Oryctolagus cuniculus: one gene and its partners. The protein of the gene in region 3 interacts with the protein of the main gene of each other region in a biochemical or structural test. Links are inferred from orthologs where the notes say so. Each region holds a gene or a part of one and is shown on either strand. Other genes may lie near its edges.

Evidence for each region.
Region 1: of the proteins of UBE2B (region 3) and histone H2A type 2-C, one has a biochemical effect on the other in vitro, tested with the Homo sapiens proteins (2 studies listed by BioGRID, with this or other methods). The link is inferred for Oryctolagus cuniculus from reciprocal best matches to the Homo sapiens genes UBE2B and H2AC20.
Region 2: the proteins of UBE2B (region 3) and RNF40 form a complex in vitro, tested with the Homo sapiens proteins (3 studies listed by BioGRID). The link is inferred for Oryctolagus cuniculus from reciprocal best matches to the Homo sapiens genes UBE2B and RNF40.
Region 4: of the proteins of UBE2B (region 3) and UBA1, one has a biochemical effect on the other in vitro, tested with the Homo sapiens proteins (10 studies listed by BioGRID, with this or other methods). The link is inferred for Oryctolagus cuniculus from reciprocal best matches to the Homo sapiens genes UBE2B and UBA1.
Region 5: the proteins of UBE2B (region 3) and UBR1 form a complex in vitro, tested with the Homo sapiens proteins (2 studies listed by BioGRID and IntAct, with this or other methods). The link is inferred for Oryctolagus cuniculus from reciprocal best matches to the Homo sapiens genes UBE2B and UBR1.

Annotation. Positions count from the first base shown.
Region 1 is NC_091438.1:48,064,813-48,067,776, reverse strand, and holds histone H2A type 2-C, read left to right. Parts: upstream 1-1,762; 5' UTR 1,763-1,825; coding exon 1,826-2,215; 3' UTR 2,216-2,261; downstream 2,262-2,964. Other genes in the region: histone H2B type 2-E, read right to left, coding at 1,111-1,491; histone H2A type 2-B, read right to left, coding at 2,376-2,768. UniProt on the Homo sapiens protein: Core component of nucleosome. Nucleosomes wrap and compact DNA into chromatin, limiting DNA accessibility to the cellular machineries which require DNA as a template.
Region 2 is NC_091450.1:6,351,685-6,356,488, forward strand, and holds the start of RNF40 (E3 ubiquitin-protein ligase BRE1B), read right to left. Parts: upstream 3,271-4,804; 5' UTR 3,136-3,270; intron 3,025-3,135; 5' UTR 2,954-3,024; coding exon 2,822-2,953; intron 2,474-2,821; coding exon 2,306-2,473; intron 2,174-2,305; coding exon 2,032-2,173; intron 1,462-2,031; coding exon 1,255-1,461; intron 713-1,254; coding exon 591-712; intron 488-590; coding exon 341-487; intron 250-340; coding exon 175-249; intron 1-174. Other genes in the region: CFAP119 (cilia- and flagella-associated protein 119), read left to right, coding at 3,755-3,823, 4,134-4,165, 4,566-4,631, 4,723-4,804.
Region 3 is NC_091437.1:22,632,874-22,637,836, reverse strand, and holds the start of UBE2B (ubiquitin-conjugating enzyme E2 B), read right to left. Parts: upstream 3,362-4,963; 5' UTR 3,359-3,361; coding exon 3,315-3,358; intron 3,292-3,314; exon of another isoform or gene 2,736-3,291; intron 1,501-2,735; coding exon 1,420-1,500; intron 64-1,419; coding exon 38-63; intron 1-37. UniProt on the Homo sapiens protein: E2 ubiquitin-conjugating enzyme that accepts ubiquitin from the ubiquitin-activating enzyme E1 and transfers it to a E3 ubiquitin-protein ligase. In vitro catalyzes 'Lys-11'-, as well as 'Lys-48'- and 'Lys-63'-linked polyubiquitination.
Region 4 is NC_091453.1:32,732,260-32,736,497, forward strand, and holds part of UBA1 (ubiquitin-like modifier-activating enzyme 1), read left to right. Parts: intron 1-451; exon of another isoform or gene 452-490; intron 491-674; 5' UTR 675-799; intron 800-955; coding exon 956-1,072; intron 1,073-1,177; coding exon 1,178-1,236; intron 1,237-1,338; coding exon 1,339-1,507; intron 1,508-1,587; coding exon 1,588-1,722; intron 1,723-2,687; coding exon 2,688-2,794; intron 2,795-3,079; coding exon 3,080-3,170; intron 3,171-3,274; coding exon 3,275-3,407; intron 3,408-3,898; coding exon 3,899-3,996; intron 3,997-4,114; coding exon 4,115-4,238. UniProt on the Homo sapiens protein: Catalyzes the first step in ubiquitin conjugation to mark cellular proteins for degradation through the ubiquitin-proteasome system.
Region 5 is NC_091443.1:65,928,599-65,932,392, forward strand, and holds the end of UBR1 (E3 ubiquitin-protein ligase UBR1), read right to left. Parts: intron 3,447-3,794; coding exon 3,305-3,446; 3' UTR 862-3,304; downstream 1-861. UniProt on the Homo sapiens protein: E3 ubiquitin-protein ligase which is a component of the N-end rule pathway. Recognizes and binds proteins bearing specific N-terminal residues that are destabilizing according to the N-end rule, leading to their ubiquitination and subsequent degradation.

The DNA of each region.
Region 1 (2,964 bases), on a different chromosome or scaffold from region 3:
CCCAAAGCAGTTGCACCGAGGTGATTAACGACATATTTGGTCAAGGAGCTACAAAAACATTTCCATCTTCATCGTATCTTCACATCTGATGGAAATAAACAGCGCCCACCCCCCACCCACGGAAGCGATTACGAAATTGGCGGGATAGAAAAACGAATCCGTCGATATCGGTTCAAGCCGTTTGTGTCCGCTACGTGCCAGGCACTGATGGGCGCTGAAGATACGGAGGAAAAGCAGGCCAGCAGGGCCTTTGTCCCGGTTTGAAGAAAGACCATTAACGAGAAAGCAAATGAGCCAGCGAATTTCAGCCAGCTGCGTGGACGAAGATGAAAACACACAACAGACAGGGCCAAAGGGCAGGCTCCTGAGCGGATGCCGCTGGCAGCGGTTCTTAATCCCCGAGCTAAACCACCCGTGTCTTGCAGTGACCTGGGGCAGGCTTCCCAGCACAGAGCATTAAATGCAAAAATCATTTACGGACTTAAGGAATCCTAGGACTCTCCAAGCTACAACGTCAGAGGCGGAAAACAAAGTCTTTAAGAATTCTCGAGTGGCGCGAATTTTGAATATTCATGCCGCCCAATCAGGAAAAGTCTGACCCTCAGCGGCGCGGGCTCCGCCCCAGAGCACAGCACCGGTCACCCGCAGGCCCGCAGGCCCGCAGGCCGAGCCCTCCCCGCGCCGAGCTGGCCACCCCGCCGCTTCCGGTGCTAAGCTGCTGCTGTACACAGCGGCCGCCGGACGCGCCTACTTGTGTCCTGCAGTCTTCCTAAACCAATAGCTGCAATCAGCCACTCGAGTTTAAGACGGCCCAGCGTGTGTAACAAAGCCGCCCGGCCACTGCCGCAACGCAGAGGGGTAGGGGCGGGCCATCGCCGCTGTTAGGAGTGAAGACGCACTTGGCACTCAACGCAAGTCCAATCACGCGCCGGGAACCTCGGGGTCGGAACGTCTTAGAGAATGCCAAGTACTCCACCCCCACTACGTCTGGGCTGCAGTAACTTACTTGTGCGAAGGGACTAAGGGGGGACGTTATGTGAACACGGCTCTTTCCCGATCAGATGGGTGGCTCTGAAAAGAGCCTTTGTGGGTTAGCGGCACGGCAGGGCCTCACTTGGAGCTGGTGTACTTGGTGACAGCCTTGGTGCCCTCGGACACGGCGTGCTTGGCCAGCTCGCCGGGCAGAAGCAGGCGCACGGCCGTCTGGATCTCCCGGGACGTGATGGTCGAGCGCTTGTTGTAGTGCGCCAGGCGCGACGCCTCGCCGGCGATGCGCTCGAAGATGTCGTTGACGAACGAGTTCATGATGCCCATGGCCTTGGACGAGATGCCGGTGTCGGGGTGCACTTGCTTGAGCACCTTGTACACGTAGATGGAGTAGCTCTCCTTGCGGCTGCGCTTGCGCTTCTTGCCGTCTTTCTTCTGCGCCTTGGTGACAGCTTTCTTGGAGCCCTTCTTGGGCGCGGGCGCGGACTTGGCTGGCTCGGGCATGGTAAACACCACACCAACGCGATACAGCGGGGAAAAGGAATAAGAGGATGGGCGGGCCTGATCCTCTTATAACCATCTTATGCAAATTAGGAATCAAAATGGCTTTCGTTTCCATTGGTCCGTGCAGGAAAGTTGCGTTTTCGGTAAAAGCCTGCGTAATGACAACAGCTCGACTTTATTGGCTGTTTCTGAAGCCATATTAGGACCAATGAAAAGCTCGTTCCTGACCCCACCCCCAGGGAAGCTTATAAAGGCTTTCTTCGTGGGTTCCTTTCAATCTTGTTTTGTTGCGAGGTTCTGCGCCCTAGCTGGGTTTGGTTTCTTTTTCTTAACTATGTCTGGTCGTGGCAAGCAAGGAGGCAAGGCGCGCGCCAAGGCCAAGTCGCGGTCGTCGCGCGCCGGGCTGCAGTTCCCCGTGGGCCGGGTGCACCGGCTGCTGCGCAAGGGCAACTACGCCGAGCGCGTCGGCGCCGGCGCGCCCGTCTACATGGCGGCCGTGCTCGAGTACCTGACGGCCGAGATCCTGGAGCTGGCGGGCAACGCGGCGCGCGACAACAAGAAGACGCGCATCATCCCGCGCCACCTGCAGCTGGCCATCCGCAACGACGAGGAGCTCAACAAGCTGCTGGGCAAGGTGACGATCGCGCAGGGCGGCGTGCTGCCCAACATCCAGGCTGTGCTGCTGCCAAAGAAAACCGAAAGCCACAAAGCCAAAAGCAAATAAATTTGACGACCTGAACCAAAGACCAAAGGCTCTTTTTAGAGCCACCCAAGTTGTCAAAGAAAGAGCTAACGCGCTGCTTGTTATCAGCCCTCCGCTTGACACTGTGGTGGCTCTTAAAAGAGCCTTTTGGGTGGACGGGAGTGGTGTCACGCCTAATCAATCACTTGCTCTTGCCAGGCTTGTGGCTCTCCGTCTTCTTGGGCAGCAGCACGGCCTGGATGTTGGGCAGCACGCCGCCCTGCGCGATGGTGACACCCCCGAGTAACTTGTTGAGCTCCTCGTCATTTCTCACGGCCAGCTGCAGGTGGCGCGGGATGATGCGCGTCTTCTTGTTGTCGCGCGCCGCGTTGCCCGCCAGCTCCAGGATCTCGGCCGTCAGGTACTCGAGCACGGCCGCCAGGTACACCGGGGCGCCGGCGCCGACGCGCTCGGCGTAGTTGCCCTTGCGCAGCAGCCGGTGCACCCGGCCCACGGGGAACTGCAGCCCGGCGCGCGATGACCGCGACTTGGCCTTGGCGCGCGCCTTGCCGCCTTGCTTTCCGCGTCCAGACATGACGGCTAAAAACCTGATTTCAGCTTGTTTTTCTAGGAGAGGCTATGGAAAGGATAGGCAATTTGATGTAATTTATAAGAGCTACCGGGAGGGGTGAAGGGAGGCAGTTTTATTGGCCGAGAGCGGCAGCCAATAGGAAAGCGGCACTCGGCCTTTCGGTTTGCATCCTGCGGCTGCGAGGAAATGACGGCTTTTG
Region 2 (4,804 bases), on a different chromosome or scaffold from region 3:
CCTTCACTCTTATTCTCTGCAATGTGCCTGGGTCCCCAGTACGCAGTGTTCGGGAACCATCCCCTGACGACTGACAGAGTGGCAGGAGTGGCGGGGCAAGGCCTCGGGGGGAGCGAGGCTTCTCCTCCCTGCTGCAGGGACTTCCGGGAGGCCGGCAGGGCCAGCGCGGCTCACCTTTTGCATGCTGAGCGTGATCTGGCCCCCCTGGAAACCCGACGAGCTCCCAGACACGTAGTAGCCGGAGTTGAGCTGCGACGGGCACAGAGATGACCGGCGTGAATGCAGGACCCAGGGCCCCCGGTGCCCAGCCGCGGCGCTGACGGCCCAGCAGCCCGGCTACCTGCTCCAAGGCCTCCGCCAGGTGCTTATTGAGCTTCTGCTCTCGCTTGCGCAGCTTCTCGATGTCCCACTGCAGGTCCTCCACCGTCGTCTCCATCTCCAGCACCTTGGTCTCTGCCGACGTCACTTTATCCTGGAGCTCGGAGTACTGGGGGGTGTGGGAGGAGGCAGATGGGTGGCCCCGCCCCCCACCCTTACCGGAACCCAGCCACGCTTGTCATCCCAACCAAGAGCCCAGCTCCAACACCCACCTCCAGCGAGATGCGGTGGTGCTTCTCCTGCAGCTGCGTGGCCAAGTCCTGCAGCCTCCGGTTCTCCCGGCCTAGCTCCCGGGTGCGAGCCCGAGCCACTTCACTGGGGGGCTCACTGTCCCCTGGGAAAGCAGGGCCCCGGTAAAAGCCAAGCCCAGCGCAAGGGGGCAAAGCACTAACGCATCTGGAGCCTCCCATGTGCCCAGCATGATCCACCAGCTGTCTTGCCAACTTCCTACGACAGAGTCTTTATGCCCGCTCGCCAGAGGAAGAAACCAGCTCAGAAAGGGCAGTCATCTGCCCAGAGCGCCCAGGCTAGGGCGACAAAACTAAGGCTGGGAGGAGCCTGTCAACCTGCCAAGCGCGGACATTTGCAGCTGCGCTGTGTGGATCAGCCAACGGCCACTGAGGTTTGGACAAGGACTCAGAGAGGTCTCCAGCTGAAAGGGGGCTGCCAACCACCACCCTCTCCTCCAGCCCAGCTCTTGAGGTTTTAACTGCAAGAATCAAACTGAAACCCCCACCGGCAACCTAACCCTTTTTCCTGAAAACACAGCTGATCTGTTCCTTGTGGACTTCTGGCGGCCCGTGGGCTGGGGGCGTGGGGTCGCATGGAGATACAGGTGGGGAGGGACAGCTGTGGGGTGGGCCACGGCAAACCAACCTCGGCCGTACACCCGCTGACACAGTTCCTCCACTCGGCGCTGCAGACGGTCTGAGGCCTCCACCACCCGCGACACGGCTGCCTTGGAGAACTCCATCCGGCCCTGCAGCTGCAGCTCCACCTCCTCACTGCTGCTGGCACCCAAGGCCACCACAAAAGCCAAGGCCGGCTCGCTGAGAGGGGGCCGCAGCTGCACCGGCAAGGGCTCTGGGAGGGAGGGACAGACCCTTAGGAGGGGGAGGGTCACGGTCACGGTCACGGACATCCCCGCTAACTGCTGCCAAGTTCCAGACTGAGTTCTTCAACACTCCCCTGGCCCCTGGACGCAACCTACAGTGCACGGCTGTGCCACCTTGCAAACGAGACAACACAAGTTCAAAGAGGCCAAACCACATCCACAAGAGCTGTCACATCTGTCCCTTAGGGGGACCTTTGCAATCTAGACACACACACGCACACACACATGCATGCACTGTCCCTTTCAGGGGCCTCCATACTTTTTCCTTACTGTAACTTATGACCGCTTCTTCCCTGTTTGATTTCTCCGCGTCTGGAACAATGCTAAGCACACAGCCAACACATAAGACTTTCAAATTCACGGGCAGCAAAACATAAAAATAAACTCGCTGCGAACCAAGCGAATCAGATGCCAAAGCCGTTTGCTGCCCACGGGGCAGTGGGAGGTGAAGACACTCAGCAGCCCCGTACCAGAGCCCCCTCCTCTTTAGATCTCTTCCCAGAACGGCAGTACCCCGGATTCCAGGGCTCTGGCCCTACCCCTCAGCTCCGACGTCCCTGGCTCTGGGAGAGGGGTCCCATCGCGCGGCGGCCCCTCCTGCGTCCCAAGCGCCTCCGCTCCTGCAGACAGCTCGCCCTGGCTCTCGTGACAACGCAGAAGGGCTTCCACAGTCTCGTCCAGCTGAAGGGAGAAAGCACCCACAAGTTAGGGCTCCCTCGCTGCGGCCGGCCACTGGGCTCCTTTCCCGGCCGGCAACGGGACAGCGGCGGCTGGAGCATGGCCGCGTCTCAGAGGGCGGAAAAGGCTATGGACCTGGGCCCAGTAGCGGTTGACGATGAGGAGGGTGGCATCGTCCGTGGCCTGGCGCTTCTCCAGCTTCTCAATCCGCTCGCGGAGCTCGTCCTCGCAGGCCTGCCTCTGTTCCAAACGCTCCGCCAGTTTCTTGTTCTTGAACTGAAGAACTTTCAAGTCCATCTCCTCCTACCAACACACAACACGGGGGCTTGACCACCCGGAAACGGATCGCACACAGGAGAGGAACCGGGAGGGGGGCGGGGACGGCCATACTGCTTAACGGGATTCAGAGCGACTCAAGGCGCCCACAGGGGGAAATGCCTACTCCTGCCGCCGTCCCGTTCCGACTCAGAGGCCAGCGCCCTCTGGCAACCCATTTCCTATCTGCGAGGGGCAGACGGGGCACCGTGTCCTCGGTTTCCACGTGGACTTGGCTTCGCGCGGGGAGCTGGGAGCACGAGCTCGGGCGGTTTGGGCGAAGCACAAGAGGCAGCAGTGTGGCAGCTCTGAGGGCGGTGGCAGGAGCCCACGAACCGTGGAGGAGATGCCCCCGAGCCGAATGGGCTCGATGAGAGTGGTGGTGGTCTTCTCCTCGCGGCTCAGCTTCTTCTCCGGGGGCCCCGAGCCCCCGTCGCCGGCGGCGCGTTTGTTGCCGGGCCCGGACATGGCCGCGGCGGGGACGGGGAGCGGCGCAGGGTCCCCCGAGGGGCGTCAGGCGGGCGGAGGCGGCACTTCCCCTGCAGAAGGCAGAGCAGAGGCGTGGGAGCGGCCGGCGCGCCACAGCCCGGAGCGGCCCCCGCGCAGATACCCTGCTCGGATCCCGCCCCCGCCGGCCCCGACACCCTTACCGACGGCAGGCTCAGCCTAGCGCCGCCATCTTGGATCCCACCGGACGTCACCGGCCTCCCCGCCGCAGCGCGCAGGCGCCAGAGCCGCGCCGGATGTGGCGAACCTCCTCTATTTCCTGTTTCTATGGGTCGTGCCTCTCGCGTGGTTGGGTTCCTTTCGGAACGCCCTCTCTTTCTCCCCGCGATTAGCCAGTAGACAGTTTCCATGGTAACTGACACCGCACTCACTTTCCAGCCCTCAGGACAATCCTGCTGGTCCCAACTTTGGCGAGACGGCACCCGTGTGGGCGCTTGCAACTTATTACACATGCGCACGCCCCCTCGCTGGTTGGCGTGTGCGTGCATTTTATACGTTATGTCTTCTTCCACAGGGCCCCTTAGCAACGGTCACCGTGGAGGCGGAAGGAGCCGCCCTCTCCGGCGGATTGGCTGCATCCAGCGTCTCTCCGGTGTAGATTGGCTGAAGCGTCGCTAGGGGGCCGGGCCTTGGCGAGAGCTGCTGGAGACCCAGATCGCCGGCGGCGCGAGGGAGCAACGGCATCGGTCAGCCAGACGTCCAGCCGACCCCAGCCGGAGCTTGAACAGAAGGATCTCAGCCCCGGGGGTGGATCCGGTGCAGATGGAAATGGGTGTGCGGACCGAGTCGGTCGCGGCGGCCGACGAAGATCCCGCAGCCAACTTGTTCCCGGTGAGGGCGAGACGCAGTGGTCCGCTCGTGAATGCTCACAGAAGGGCCCTCCGACGGGGCGCCACCTGTTCTAGACTTTCCCGGGCTGCCTTGGTGAAAAGCGGTGGGGGACTTGTGCCCCCGATTGTGAATGTGTTCATGGATAACGTTATCCACGAAGTCCAGCCCCGACCGCGTTGCCTGGACGCGGACCTGGAAATGAGGCGGCCAGTTAGAGCGCGTTCGGGCCCGCTGGGCGCTGGCCACCGACCAGGGTTTAGGGACCGCAGACAGCACAGCTCTCCCCTCCCAAGCTGCTTTCTCTCCGCAGCCGCCGCTGCCCCAGCCCCGGATCTGCATGTGGTGAGTGCGAACTGCTTGGGGGGTGGGGATTCCGGTGCCTCCTCCCAGCAGCCCCACCCAGCAACTGCGCCGTTCCCATTGCACGGAGGAGAAGGCTGAGGCCAGAGATGCCACGACTCGGTGACGGGCACACAGCCTTGTAACCTCCCAGCTGCAAAGAGGCACCAAGGACCGAGGCTATGGATAGAATATCGCAGCTGCCACGGGGACAGTGGGGCCTGCACTGACCTAGGTCATCTGTGGCTGAACACAGGTTTCCTAACCCCAGGCCACAGAGGGAAGTGACTTGCTCAAGGTGCACGTTAGTGACAGAGCCAAACCTCAACCTCAGGCCTCCTGCCAGACAACCTGACGCTCTGACAGGAGGCATCAGTACTCCGTCCCCTCTTCCCCGTGACAGGAAGTACCTGGACATCCACTCCATGCAGCAGCTGGAGAAGACAGCGAGCACGGAAGAGACGAGGCAGTACGGGCCGGGCTGGGCCGGGCTGGGGCGGGGCGGCGGCTGGGAGGACGTGAGGAAACGCTGGCTCCCGCCGTCCTCACTCCCCACCCAGGCTGCTGGCTGAGCTGCTGGGGCTAAGCCAGCCTTCGCAGAGCCTGCGGGATGCCATCGTCCTCGATCTCTTCCACCACGCA
Region 3 (4,963 bases):
TTAACACTCACAAAAACACAAAGTAAGAATGACTTACCATCTTCAAAGGGTGTCCCTTCTGGTCTGAAAACAAGAAGATTTTTAATTAAAAGAAGGTTTTCATCCTTTTTCTGATCTTCAAGAATGGAAAGGATCAACTCCAACAAGAGAGAAAGGCCCTCATTCCGACTATTTATGGAGTTTTTAAGAGAATGTAGTTCAGTACCAGTCAGGCCTGGGCTTTCTCAGAAGCAGGCAAGAGAGTAACTTTGATTTTCTGTTTTTCTCCTAGGGTGGTTTTATACAACAAACCAAAACAACTTGCCCATAATTTCAGCACAAAAAGAATTCAGATTATAAATGATGTGTGTTCTCCTATGAGAAAAAAATCGCCTTTTCTTTTCACAGAGCACGATGGAGGTCAATACTCTCTGGTGTACTGAAAGCCCCCGACCACCCTGCTCTCCAAACAGCACGCGCTCAGCACAGGGGATGCTCGCTCGCGCAGATCACCTCCCGGCCGCCACACCCCAGTCGCAGGTTTCCTAAGCAGCAGTGGGAAAAGCAATTACTGCTGGCAGGGCACAGCCAGGACCTCCAGCAAGGGAACAGCCTGACTGTGACAGAACCATTTTACTGTGCACGGTGACCTTTGCTGCTTCTCTACTGGTCATTATATGCAGACTCACAATGGAGTCTGACAACTCCAAGTTGTTTATGAAACTATTTCAGATATTCAAATATTAGTGCAAAACGCTAGCTTAAGAAGAATGAAAGAAAAGAGAGCAAGTCCAGGAAAACCAGCGTGGCAGCACAGAAAAGGTCACACTCAACAGCCTCAGTATCCCATCGAAGGCTGCTTCTCCCAGGGCTCCAGGCATCTCACACTGGGACACTGAGATGTGAAACATTCTCACTGCAAGTCGTGTCACAAAGTTCTCATATTCTTGGTATCAAGACTTCAAGACTTTTTTTTTTTTTTTGACAGGCAGAGTGGACAGTGAGAGAGAGAGACAGAGAGAAAGGTCTTCCTTTGCCATTGGTTCACCCTCCAATGGCTGCCATGGCTGGCGTGCTGCGGCCGGCGCACTGCGCTGATCCGATGGCAGGAGCCAGGTACTTCTCCTGGTCTCCCCATGGGGTGCAGGGCCCAAGCACCTGGGCCATCCTCCACTGCCTTCCTGGGCCACAGCAGAGAGCTGGCCTGGAAGAGGGGCAACCGGGACAGAATCTGGCGCCCCGACCGGGACTAGAACCCGGTGTGCTGGCGCCACAGGCGGAGGATTAGCCTATTGAGCCGCGGTGCCGGCCCTCAACTACTATATTAACAAGTAAAAAATTGAGTATTAAACCATATGTGAAACACCACCAAAGAGCAAATAAGCTTGGTATGACTACCAAAATGTTCAAGTTTTTCTTAACTGAAATCTTTCAACTCACCCAAATATAACCGCATTCCACTGCATGATGTTGTTTTCCGACGGTGCGCCGCTGACACCCACAGGTGGGTCCTCCTGCAGTCTGGAAATCCAGAGTGGTCGGTTTAAAAGCGAGCATTAGAGCCACGAAGGAGGCCAAAAAGAACACTTATGGCCTCTGTACCAGCTATGCGGAGACAGAAACCATACCCATTTCCTTGTTGTTGCACCGGGCTGCAGTGACTCACATGACTTAAATACATCACCAGGGATATTCTAACGCACTCATAAATACCTCTCACGACCTGGGAGTCATCCCTCTCGAGCTACTACAAGAGTAAAACATCTCTTCAAAAACGCCCGTACACAGGCTGCCTTCTTGCCCCACAGCTGTAAAACCTCAAGGGCAAAAAAAATATTTCCCCGGAACCATTGATGGTGCTGCTCCAAGCAGGCAGACTGTGCGAATCCAAACTACAGCTGCTTGTGCAACATGGTTGCAAAAAAGGGGCTTTGCAGGGCAAACCTCAGTGCAGACAGTGAGGGCCGAAAGCACCTGGGTTCAGGTTCATCAGGGTCTGGATTTCTGCATCCCCTGTGCTTCGCTGGGCAGCGGCTTTTCGGAGTGACCCGCAGCTGGGTTGCCCAGCAGGCTGCCTCTGATGGCGCTGCGCTCATGAGGCAGCAAGACCGAAACCTCCTCCTCTGAAGACCCCTGGAGGAGCACCAGGCTGCCTGCCATGTGTTCCCCCCAGCAGTAAACACTCGCCGCAGGAACTGGGCAACAATGGCACCGGCTGCCAGTCTCGCCTCTTGAATTTCAGTCATGGGAACGAATGCAACGTTCCTGATTCTAAGCTTCAGATGTAAGATTTCTACCCCAGAGGTCTGTTCCAGACTGTCCCCACACTAAAACTACTACATTAAGGCACAAATACAGAGGCACTCATTTGCACACAGTGCTTTGCAGTGAGCCACGTAAACACGGTTTTCAGTTAACATCGGGCAAACCAGGCCTCCTGACCGGAAGCCCGAGGAGCTGGACACCTCCTTGTAAATCGCTCGAGAAGCCACGAGTGAACTAACACGGTGGCCAAAGCGCAAACAATGGCTCCCAAATGCCTTACATAAGCCTTTACAATGGCCAAGTTGAGAGGTTACTTCTTGAGCGGCAAATCCAAGTTTTGATACCACCTACCAAGTCCCCATTAAGGCAAGTCTACCCCCAGAAAACCTCCGCTAAGTTCTCTCTCACTGCTTCTCTGAGCTCCGAGTAGCCCGCACAAGGCAACCAAACAAACCAAAAAAGGGGCAGTTTCCTCCCCACAACCCCCACACCTCAGTCACAAAGGGAGGCTCGGCGGGGCTCGGACGCGCGCCAGGGCCGGCGGGCTATAGATAGGGCTGCGCTCAGCGGCCCGAGCCCCGCTCCGACGCCAGCTCTCAAGGTCCTGGCAGGCGGCGGGGGCAGAGTCGGGTTTCGGGGATGGGGTAACCACCTCCCGACCTCGCGCGGCACACCCCACCCTCCCCGCGGGGCGCAAAGGAACGGGGGGGAGGGGGCTCCGGGCCCCAACCCCGTCCCCCGGGCGCGGAACAAAGCTGACCGCTGCAGCGGGCGAGGAGCAAGCTCCTTCAAGAGCTCGCTTCTGGGCCAGAGAGAGGGGGCGCCGCGCGGTGCAGGGCGCCCCAGGCCGGCCGATCGCCACCTCTCCACTTTCGGGGGATGGGAGGGGTCGCAGCGGAATTTCTGAGTCCTCAGAGAGGTTGGCGAGGCCAGCACCGGGCTTCCGTAGGTCCCGCCGGGCCCACAGCCGGCGCCTTTACAGGCAACAGGGGAAGGTGTCCGGGATCCCGCCCTGCAGCCCCACAGCTTCAGGAAGGAGCCGCCATCGGGGGGCGGGAGGAGGCCCTTACCGCTTGAAATCCCGCATGAGCCTCCTCCGCGCCGGGGTCGACATGCTCCCCAGCTGCCCCGCGGTCAATCTGAAAGAAAAAGAGTCCCGCGCAGCCCCCCCACCCCCCGGCGCGGCGGCCGAATCACTGTGGGTCACCGCCGCCGCCGAGACTGCACAAACAACCCCGCAATGACGTCTCCCTCCGCCGCCTCCAGATCCCTCCGCCCTCCGCCGCTACCATGGCAGCAGGGGGAGCCGGGCGGAGGAGCGGGCCGGCGCCGCTTCCTGCAGCCCGCCGGCTGCGATCGCTCCCATTCCGCCTTCTGTTACGGATCGACAAATTAGTGTTCTCCGTGCTCAGAGCAGAGGTGGTGGGTTAAGCGACACAGAAACGGAAATACTACTTTGTCTTCCCCCCTCGTCACGAACTTAGGTTCGGCGGGGTGGGGAGAGAGGGACCGCATCCGGGGCCAGAGATTTCGGGGAAAGGAGGAGGGATGACGTAAGGTCACGTGGCCGCCGCCGGCGTTGTCAACAATCCACCCCTGAGGGGGAGGGGACGAAGTATCTAGAACCACGTGTCCCTGTGACGCTTTAGAACGGGTCACGTGAGCGCGTCCCCTGGACCTGCTCGGCCGGGTCTGGGAAGCGGAGGGCGGGGTATGTCTTCATTAGTTGTTCCTCGCGTCTGTCCCAGATACCGGGACCTTACAGCCGGAGTCGTGCTGGAACGATAGATTGATTCCAAAGTTTAAAAAACGGAACCACAAGTAACTCAGGACTTCATTGTTATCCCTCATTGGCTTATCAACTTTGCTCCGTGGGGCAGGAGGGAAAACCGAAAGGCTGTCACCTTCTAGGGAGCACAACGCAAAGTAAAAGCCCCGAAATGTTTCCCCACGGCTGCCGGATGTCTGTTCCCGCCTTGCAGTGGGGTTCCCAAGGTTGCTACTTCTAGGTGAAGACAGAAGAGTTAAAAAGGCCCCATGGAAATAAGTTTTTAATGGGTCTGTGTTCATTCTAAGATAACGACGGATTTGCCTGCTCTTTGGATTTGTTAGAAAATGGGGGTGCACCCGCGTGAGCAGATCAGGAGTGGTTGGTTGTCAACGAAATCTACAAAAGGACTCAGATCTGGAGGAAGGCATCGTGGAGGCACGTGGGAGCTATATAGCCAGCCCCAGATAACTCATTTTAGATTTCTCTGCATTCGCAAGTAGGGTGCGAATGGGCGCAAGTGCCACCTCCTCACAGGTGTGGACTATGGGGACCCTGAACATTCCTTCAGGTGCTAAATTCCCCCTCCCTGTAGCCTCCGTTTCTGTCCTGAGGATTTTGTTGGTCTGGAGGGCTCTGAGCCCTTCCCTATGGAGGAATTCAGTTCTACAAGGAGAAGGAGGGTAGGATGAGAACCACCTAATTTCGCACAGAAATTGCCCACAGTTCCATGGAACCAGAAAGGGTTAACTTTCCCATTTTCCTGATCACAATCTTTTTTCAAGCCCTGAATTCTAGCTTTTGGTTTTAGTAGAGGCCTTGTGATCAAGTTAGCCAGACCTTAGGTCATGGTGTGCGTTCACCGTGGGATTCTGCGTATTATTTTATTTCGCTTTCCTGCCATTGCAACCTTAATCCTCTCTATAGCCAAAGAGGAAGGCATAAGCGTAG
Region 4 (4,238 bases), on a different chromosome or scaffold from region 3:
TCACAGTGTGAGTTGGGGGCTATTAATAGTAGTCTAAAGCTGGTGGGGAGGCCCCCTGAGGACAGACAGAGCAGGCAAGGTTCATGAAGTGTTAGTTTGTATCAGGGGCTCCCTCCACTTGTAGCCAAGACTTCAAAGTGTGTGTTTGCATTTGCTTTTCCTTTCTTCCTGCAACATTGTGTTTTCTTTTGTTTTGTTTTCCTTTTTTAACCTGGGCCGACTCTCTAGCAAAGCTGGGGTTAGGGGGTTGGACTCTGCAAAACTCCTGCCAGAGCCACTCTGGAGAGTAGGTTCTCAGCAAGGTGTCTCCTGCCATCATGCCACCCTGCTGGATGTCCAGGCCTCCTTTCCCTCTCCCACCCTCCTCCCCTTTCCTCCCCCTGCCGTCCGTGGGATGGAGGGAGAGGAGAATGGTTGCTTATTACTGCTTGCCTACTCCGTGCCAGGCTCCTCGGTCTGTGTTTTTTCTCACCTCAGCCCCATGGGTAAGGTAAGTGGTAGTATCGCCTCCCCCTGCCCCCATTTTACAAATGAGGAAACTGAGGCCCATAAGAGTTTGATTACAGCTGCCAAGGAGTAGCTGGCTAGAGACTTGAAAACTGGAGCTGTCCTGAAGCCACATACGTTTGCTGACTTCTCCACAATGTGTTCTTGTTACTCCCGTCATCCTGCAGGATTGGAGTCTGTCCGTCACTACGCTGGGCTGGGGCGAGGCAGCTGGCTCAGTGGTGAGCTGCATGGATCTGCCAGCCACACCACCTGGGTTCAGCTCTTACCTCTGACGGCTGAGTGACCTTGGGCAAGTCACCTCACCAATCTGCCTGTCTCCTCTTGTGTAAAATGGGGGGACTCATGTGGGACTCATGTTGAAGTCGTCCCCTGCAGTTCCCACTGACCAATCAAGTAATGTCCTCGCGGGCACCAGGCTCACTCCTGCCTTCCTCTTGCCCTCCAGATGTCCAGCTCGCCGCTGTCCAAGAAACGTCGCGTGTCCGGGCCTGATCCAAAGCCGGGTTCTAACTGCTCCCCTGCCCAGTCCGTGTTGCCCCAAGTGCCCTCGGCGCCAACCAACGTGAGTGTCTTCTCTCTGGAGACTGGCAGGTGGGAAGGTACCCCTGTTTGTCCGTGCCCCGCTCCTGCCTGTCTTCCTGACCCGGCGCGTCCTCTCCCTCCCTAGGGAATGGCGAAGAACGGCAGTGAAGCAGACATCGATGAGGGCCTTTACTCCCGGCAGCTGTAAGCGGGGCCGAGGCTGGGCTGAGAGGTGGGAGGCGGGGTACTGCGAAGGGAGGGTTGGGTGGGCCGGGTCCTGACTTGGAGTGCCCCTTAACCTGACAGGTATGTGTTGGGCCATGAGGCGATGAAGCGGCTCCAGACATCCAGCGTTCTGGTGTCAGGCCTGCGGGGCCTGGGGGTAGAGATCGCGAAGAACATCATCCTTGGCGGGGTCAAGGCCGTGACCCTCCATGACCAGGGCACGGCCCAGTGGGCTGACCTCTCCTCCCAGGTACCTCCTTGCCCCCTCGCCTGCTGCTGAGAGACCAGCTCCTCTGGATGCCATCTCCCTTGACCTTTCTGCCGTTGCAGTTCTACCTGCGAGAGGAGGACATAGGGAAAAACCGCGCTGAGGTGTCACAGCCCCGCCTCGCTGAACTCAACAGCTACGTGCCTGTCACCGCCTACACTGGGCCGCTGGTTGAGGACTTCCTCAGTGGCTTCCAGGTACCTTGGGGGTACCACACAGCCTCTTGCCCCATGTGCAGATCCCATCTCTGGGTGCTCAGCACTTGCTTAATGGGCTGACCCTGTGTGCCAGGTTTTGTCCTGGGGGAGCCTAGAGGGTGCCAGCAGGATGAGATTTGGGACTGGCCTTTCTGGGAGGAGGATGCGTGCAGGCAGACAGTGCAGCTTAGGGGCCTGAGCACAGGCGCCAGGGCCACACTGCCCTGCCAGGAGCCTCTCGCTCTCCTGGTAGGGTTTGGGCAGGTCCCTTAGTCTCTGGCTCTTGGTTTTCCCTCTTTGTAGTCTGGGCATGGGAGCAGTACTGACCTCAGAGTTTTGGTGAGGGTTAAGCAGCTGCCACGTGGTAAGGGTTCCATGGGTATTCATTAAAATGTCTGGACTGCAAAGAGGAGCTGTGGAAGCTGAGAGTCAGTCCTGAGGTGTCCCAGGAAGCCAAGGGCACCACAGCTGAATCCCGATGTGGCTAAGTAGGAGCTCACCCTGGCGGGTCAGGATGGACGTATGAGGCAGAGAGCAAAGTCCCCAGGACGGGGCCGGGCAGGCGTTGTCCTGAGAATCGGGAGCAGGTGGGTGTGGTAGGAGTGAGCTCAGACGCTGGCTGCCTCTCCCAGGGCACGGCAGGGTTGTAGGCAGGCAGCAGTGGGTGTTTGTCAAACAAGTGAGTCAGCTGTTCTGCATACTCCATCCTCCCGGCTGCCTCTGCGCCTTTCCAGGCATGCTTTAGGGATTCGGTTTTCTCTTTGCCAAGGCTCACCCTGGTGGAGTCTGACACACAGTAGGTACTTTGCCTTTGTGAAAGAGGACTGAAGTGGCAAAAAGCCCAGCACCTGGGCCTTAAGGACACTTTAGCCCTCTGCACAACCTCCCTTCATTGTTCTCCCCGCTTCGCCCCAGTGCCAGGCCCCCGGCCTGGGCCTCCCTGCTGAGCCGCTCCATCCCTGCAGGTGGTGGTCCTCACTAACAGCCCCCTGGAGGACCAGCTGCGCGTGGGCGAGTTCTGTCATAGCCGTGGCATCAAGCTGGTAGTGGCAGACACGAGAGGCTTGTTTGGGTGAGTGCTGCCCCCCACTCTCTTTGTCCCTGACCTCTGTCAGGCCCAGACTGAGACCCCCAGGCTCCTGTGCCCTCATCCCTCCCCAGCCACCTGAGTTTTGGATTATTTTGTGTTCCTCTGTCCTCCTGTGGCCTGAGTGCCGTCTGGTTCCTGCGGTGATTCCAGCAGTGATGGACTGAGAATTTGCTCAGCAAGTACTCACTGCGTTTTGAGGGATGCATGGGTCTTGGGCGGGGGGCGGGGAGGGGACTTTGGCATCAGCCCTGTTGTCTCTCCCTACAGGCAACTCTTCTGCGACTTTGGAGAGGAAATGATCCTCACAGATTCCAACGGGGAGCAGCCCCTCAGCGCCATGGTTTCTATGGTCACCAAGGTAAGGACCAGACTTGGCTCCTGGCAGGTAGATGGGCAGTGGCAGTCCTTGTGTGCTCCTGGTACCCTCAGCCTGCCTCTGAGGCTCACTCCTTCTTTAACTAGGACAACCCTGGTGTGGTTACCTGCCTGGATGAGGCCCGACATGGGTTTGAGAGTGGCGATTTTGTTTCCTTCTCCGAAGTACAGGGCATGACTGAGCTCAATGGAAACCAGCCCATAGAGATCAAAGTCCTGGGTGAGCCGAGGCCATGGGGGACTCAGGGGAGCCAGGAGCGCAGTGAAGGGGGGATGATGTCCCTGGGTTCCCGGTGAGGGGAGACAGACACATCCTGGGTGTCTGAGATGAACCAGAGACAGAGTCCCCTGGTCCAAGCAGAGCCGGCGGGCATGGGGGAGAGATGCCGTCTGTGTCAGAGCTATTGCTAGGGGAATGGCTCTTGGAGTCTGAACGGGGAGGTCTCTGGTGTTTGAACGAGGCAGATCAGGATGTACTCATACTTCAGCTGATTGGGATGGGGAGCAGAGACGCAGGCTGTTGTGGGGTTTAAGTTGGGTCTGGGGCAGACCAGAGATAGTTTCTGATCCCCAAGTGGAACTTGTCGGGGGAAGAGGGGAGATAGTTCTTGGTGTCTGAGCTGGGGGAAAACAATTATTTCTCATACCTTGTGGGTGTGGAGGATTTTTAGGGAGGGTGGGTAGACTTGACAACTTCCCCATCCATCATAGGTCCTTACACCTTTAGCATCTGTGACACCTCCAACTTCTCCGATTACATCCGTGGAGGCATTGTCAGCCAGGTCAAAGTACCTAAGAAGATAAGCTTTGTGAGTGTGTTGGAGAGGGCAGTGGGCTTGGGGGCGGGGGGTGGGGGGGCTGGCTTGAGGCGTTTCCCCCTCTTCTGTTCCTCTCTTCTGGTTCCCATGCCCTGTCTCTCTCCAACAGAAATCCTTGTCAGCCTCGCTGGCAGAGCCTGACTTTGTGATGACGGACTTCGCCAAGTTTTCTCGCCCCGCTCAGCTTCACATTGGCTTCCAGGCCTTGCACAAGTTCTGTGCACAGCACAGCC
Region 5 (3,794 bases), on a different chromosome or scaffold from region 3:
TAGCCACTACCCAATTAGGACTGTACATTTAATTAAAATGAATAAAATCAGTAATTCAGGTCCTCTACTAGCCACATTCCAAGCACTGAGTAGCCATGTGAAGATGGTGACTACTACCCTGCAATGCAAATGCAGAACTTTTCCGGGCAGTGTTGCTCCAGACAGCTGTCTGCACAATAAAGTGTGCATACACAAAGGGATGTACAGGTTCACTTGGAAGATACTTAAATATCTGTTTCTATTTCAAGTGGTCTTTTAATCTCCCTTCCTTGAGCTATGTTTTAAAAAATGTATTTACTAATTTTTATCTATTAGAGAGGGAGAGCTAGAGACAGAGAACTCCTATTTGCTGGTTCACTCCTCAAATGCCCACAATGCCAAGGGCAGGCCAAGCTGAAGCAGAAGCTGAGAACTCAGTACAGGTCTCCCATGTGGGTGGCAGGGACCCAGTTACTTCAGCCATCACCTGCTGTGTCTCAGGGCATACATTTCCTGGGAGCTGAAAATGGAAGCAGAACCAGGGCATGAACTCAGGCACTCCAGTACAGGATGTGAGTGCCCCAATCTGGGTCTTAACTGTCAGGCCAAATGCCCACCTCTGAGCTGTTTTTCATCATACTTAATGTATTAGCATGGTACTATATGAACACAAAAAAATATGTACTTATATTTGGTATGTATGCTTAAAAAACTATTTACAGATGGAATGCATGGTCAAAAACTTTGGACATCCATTTACACTAAACATCTGTGTCTTCTAAAAAATTTGCCTGAACTGATAAGCATAATTTTTTACTATAGCTTTTATCTAGTTATAAATTTTTATACTTCAAACCCAAATCCCCAAACATGAGAAGTCCCTTTTTTCTTTTTAAATATACACATATATTTTATTTCAAAAAGCACAAGAACATTATACAAGTTTTAAATTTACATTTTTGCAATAAAAGATATCAATATATGCATTATTTGTATAACTTCATCATGGATGGAATTTGAATCAGTGGTATAAACATGTTGCAGTCACTAAATATAGATCATCATCACAGTGAACCAAAATGCATAGTTGTTATGAAATGACAAATGACCACTAAAAGATGAACTCACAGCCCATACACCAACATAATAAATTAATTTTACAGATATGTTTTTCTTCACTGTATCATTAAAATTCTTGCCAGTCCCTCATTAAACATTTGAGAAACACAGTTTTGGGGCCATCCTGTTGAACTTGTTCCTTCATTTACTGTGCTAAAGAAAACAAAGTGACTTGGCTGTTTGTGAGTAAACTTCATAAGCATAATTGTTTGCAGTGATGAAGGCATACCACTGGTACATCTGAACATAATGAGAAATCCTTCGGGCTTGGGGCAGCGCTGAAACTTACGTTCATCTATAGTGTGGAGATCTGAATCAAGCCCAATAAGCAGAACTCAGTAAGAAGTGTGCTCTTTGGCAGCTAAGGTCTGGCTGGCCATCGCCAGGTAGTCCTTCTGGCAGCTTGAGAACTTAACTCCAGGATTTATGAAGTGAACATGAAACAACTTGAATGAAAGTTTATTTTGTTAAACTGGGGCCAATCAGGGCAGAAATCAGCATTTTCTGTTGTCTATTCTAGGTCAGACTTCCAAACAATCCATCAGATAAATTATATAAGAAACAAAGGAAAATGTTCAAATCATTTAAACTGGCAAATCTGACAAAGTGAATACTGAGTTTTCTGATCCTCACCTGTTGATTGTTACAAATTCATTACAGTTGTAGATATTTCCTGATATCTTCTGAATAGCAATTATTCAAGTAAAATTCATGATTGTGATTCCGATACTGGCTCCTGCCAAGCCCTTACCACAAAATTCACTTTTCTTTACATAAAAGTACCAAAAAAAAAAATACCTCGCCCCAAATGTGCATGAATCACTTAGCATATATATTTTTATTTGCTTGCCTTTGCTGAGCAAAAAGCAGTTAGCAAAACACTTCCACACATATAAGACAGTAGTAGCCAAAGTCAAAATAAGATACAGTCTTTGAATCTTTCAAACACCTGACATTACCCCAGAGAAAACAGAAGCTAAAATAGAGGGTTTCAATATATCTTCTGTCTTTTGTTTTGTATCACAAGTTCTTGATATAAAAAGTTAAAGCCCAAAACCAAGAAGTCTATGCACAGAGTCGGGAGACTTCGGTTATCTATAAACAAGATGGCTCAACCACAGGGCATTTATTATGGGATGCAGACTACTGATTACATGGCTTTTTAAAGTTGTTTGTACTAGTCATACAACCAGAATTTATGAGAAGGTTGCACACAGGGAACAAATCAAGGATTTGTCTTTTACAAAGACACAGAAGGTTGCAGAGTTGGCTTAAATCTGATAGTTTTAATTTACAATTGTCATGATCCATTCACTGGGAGAATTTTCTTACTCTCATTCTATAAATAGTTTCCATCAGAATCATATTAGGTTTCTACGAGTCAGATAGGGTAGTTCCATGATTAAGAGATAAGAAATATCACTGTAGAAACCTGCCTCTGGGAAATAGAAAGTGTAATTTCAGAATTTAACAAAGCTGTTTGTAGTCAGAGGTGTGGATTACAGGCTACTCTTCTCATCAGGAATGAGTAACGAAAGCAGTATCCTAGGTCCTCTTGGCGTCTACAGAAGAAAAATACTGTTTTACACTGGCTGAAATCACAATCTGTCCATATAGGAGTCAGCAGGTGGAAATTAGGGGTATTTCCTTAAAGCACAAATAATAGGTTTACATTTTTGAAGTCTTTCTCAAATGAACTGTAATGCATGATTTCTGCATTTCCTCTTCAGCTGCAAGGAAGACTATCACAGATATTAGACTCTTGTCAGTGATCCAGTGCCAGCTAGACTAAACTTGGGGGAAAAACCAACAAACACAAAATGGCAGAAAAGTTATCCAATACAACATTGTACACAATTTACTTGATGTGACTTCATTCATTAGGTGGATGAAATGAAATCGGACAGATTATGAAGGGGAATGAGCTTCCTGGAAATATTAGCAGAATCAGACACATGGCGTGAACAAGCATTTCTTTAGTGTTCTAGAACATAAAACAGATAATCTATGTCCTTCTTTCCCTTGAAGCATACATTTTCTAATTGAAAGCAATACTCCATTAAGGAATATTTTATTGATGTACGTGAATCTGGACATGGAGCAAAAAACCCTCCAATCCTTCCCCAGCCCTTGGAAAGGTCTCCGTAATTCTCAATCAGTCTTCCCACTGAAGTCATTCGTGATTGTCTTGAGGCAGAATTGGAGCTCACAGCAACTGCCAGTTGAATCCAAATAACATCTGATTAGTTTCCTGGCTCCTAGCAATCTCTTCTATAATGCAGTGTTGTTGCCAGACCAAATGGAGCTTCCGATATCGCTCATGAGATAAATGAAGAGGGTTGCCTCTCCTTTGGGGGAAAACAAAACAAAACAAAAACATGCAAATTTGAATCAAATAACTATCTTGGCCTTATTGTCGAAATTAGTTTGCATTCTTGACATGTTCCTAGAGCTGGGAAGAACCACTAAGAAAAGGTTTAAAAGGGGATAGTGTCCCTTCACCATTAGTCACTAAGAACTTGATAGGTTATATATTTAATGAGGCAGAAATTTACCCTATACTATTCAGAATTCAGGTCAAGTACACTATGGACACTATGAGATCTTATTTAAATGGCCAGTGCAGTTTATAACTTGAAGCAGCACTATTCTCTTTTAGCCTGAATGGGACTTCATTGGCTGTTTTGTTTTGTTTT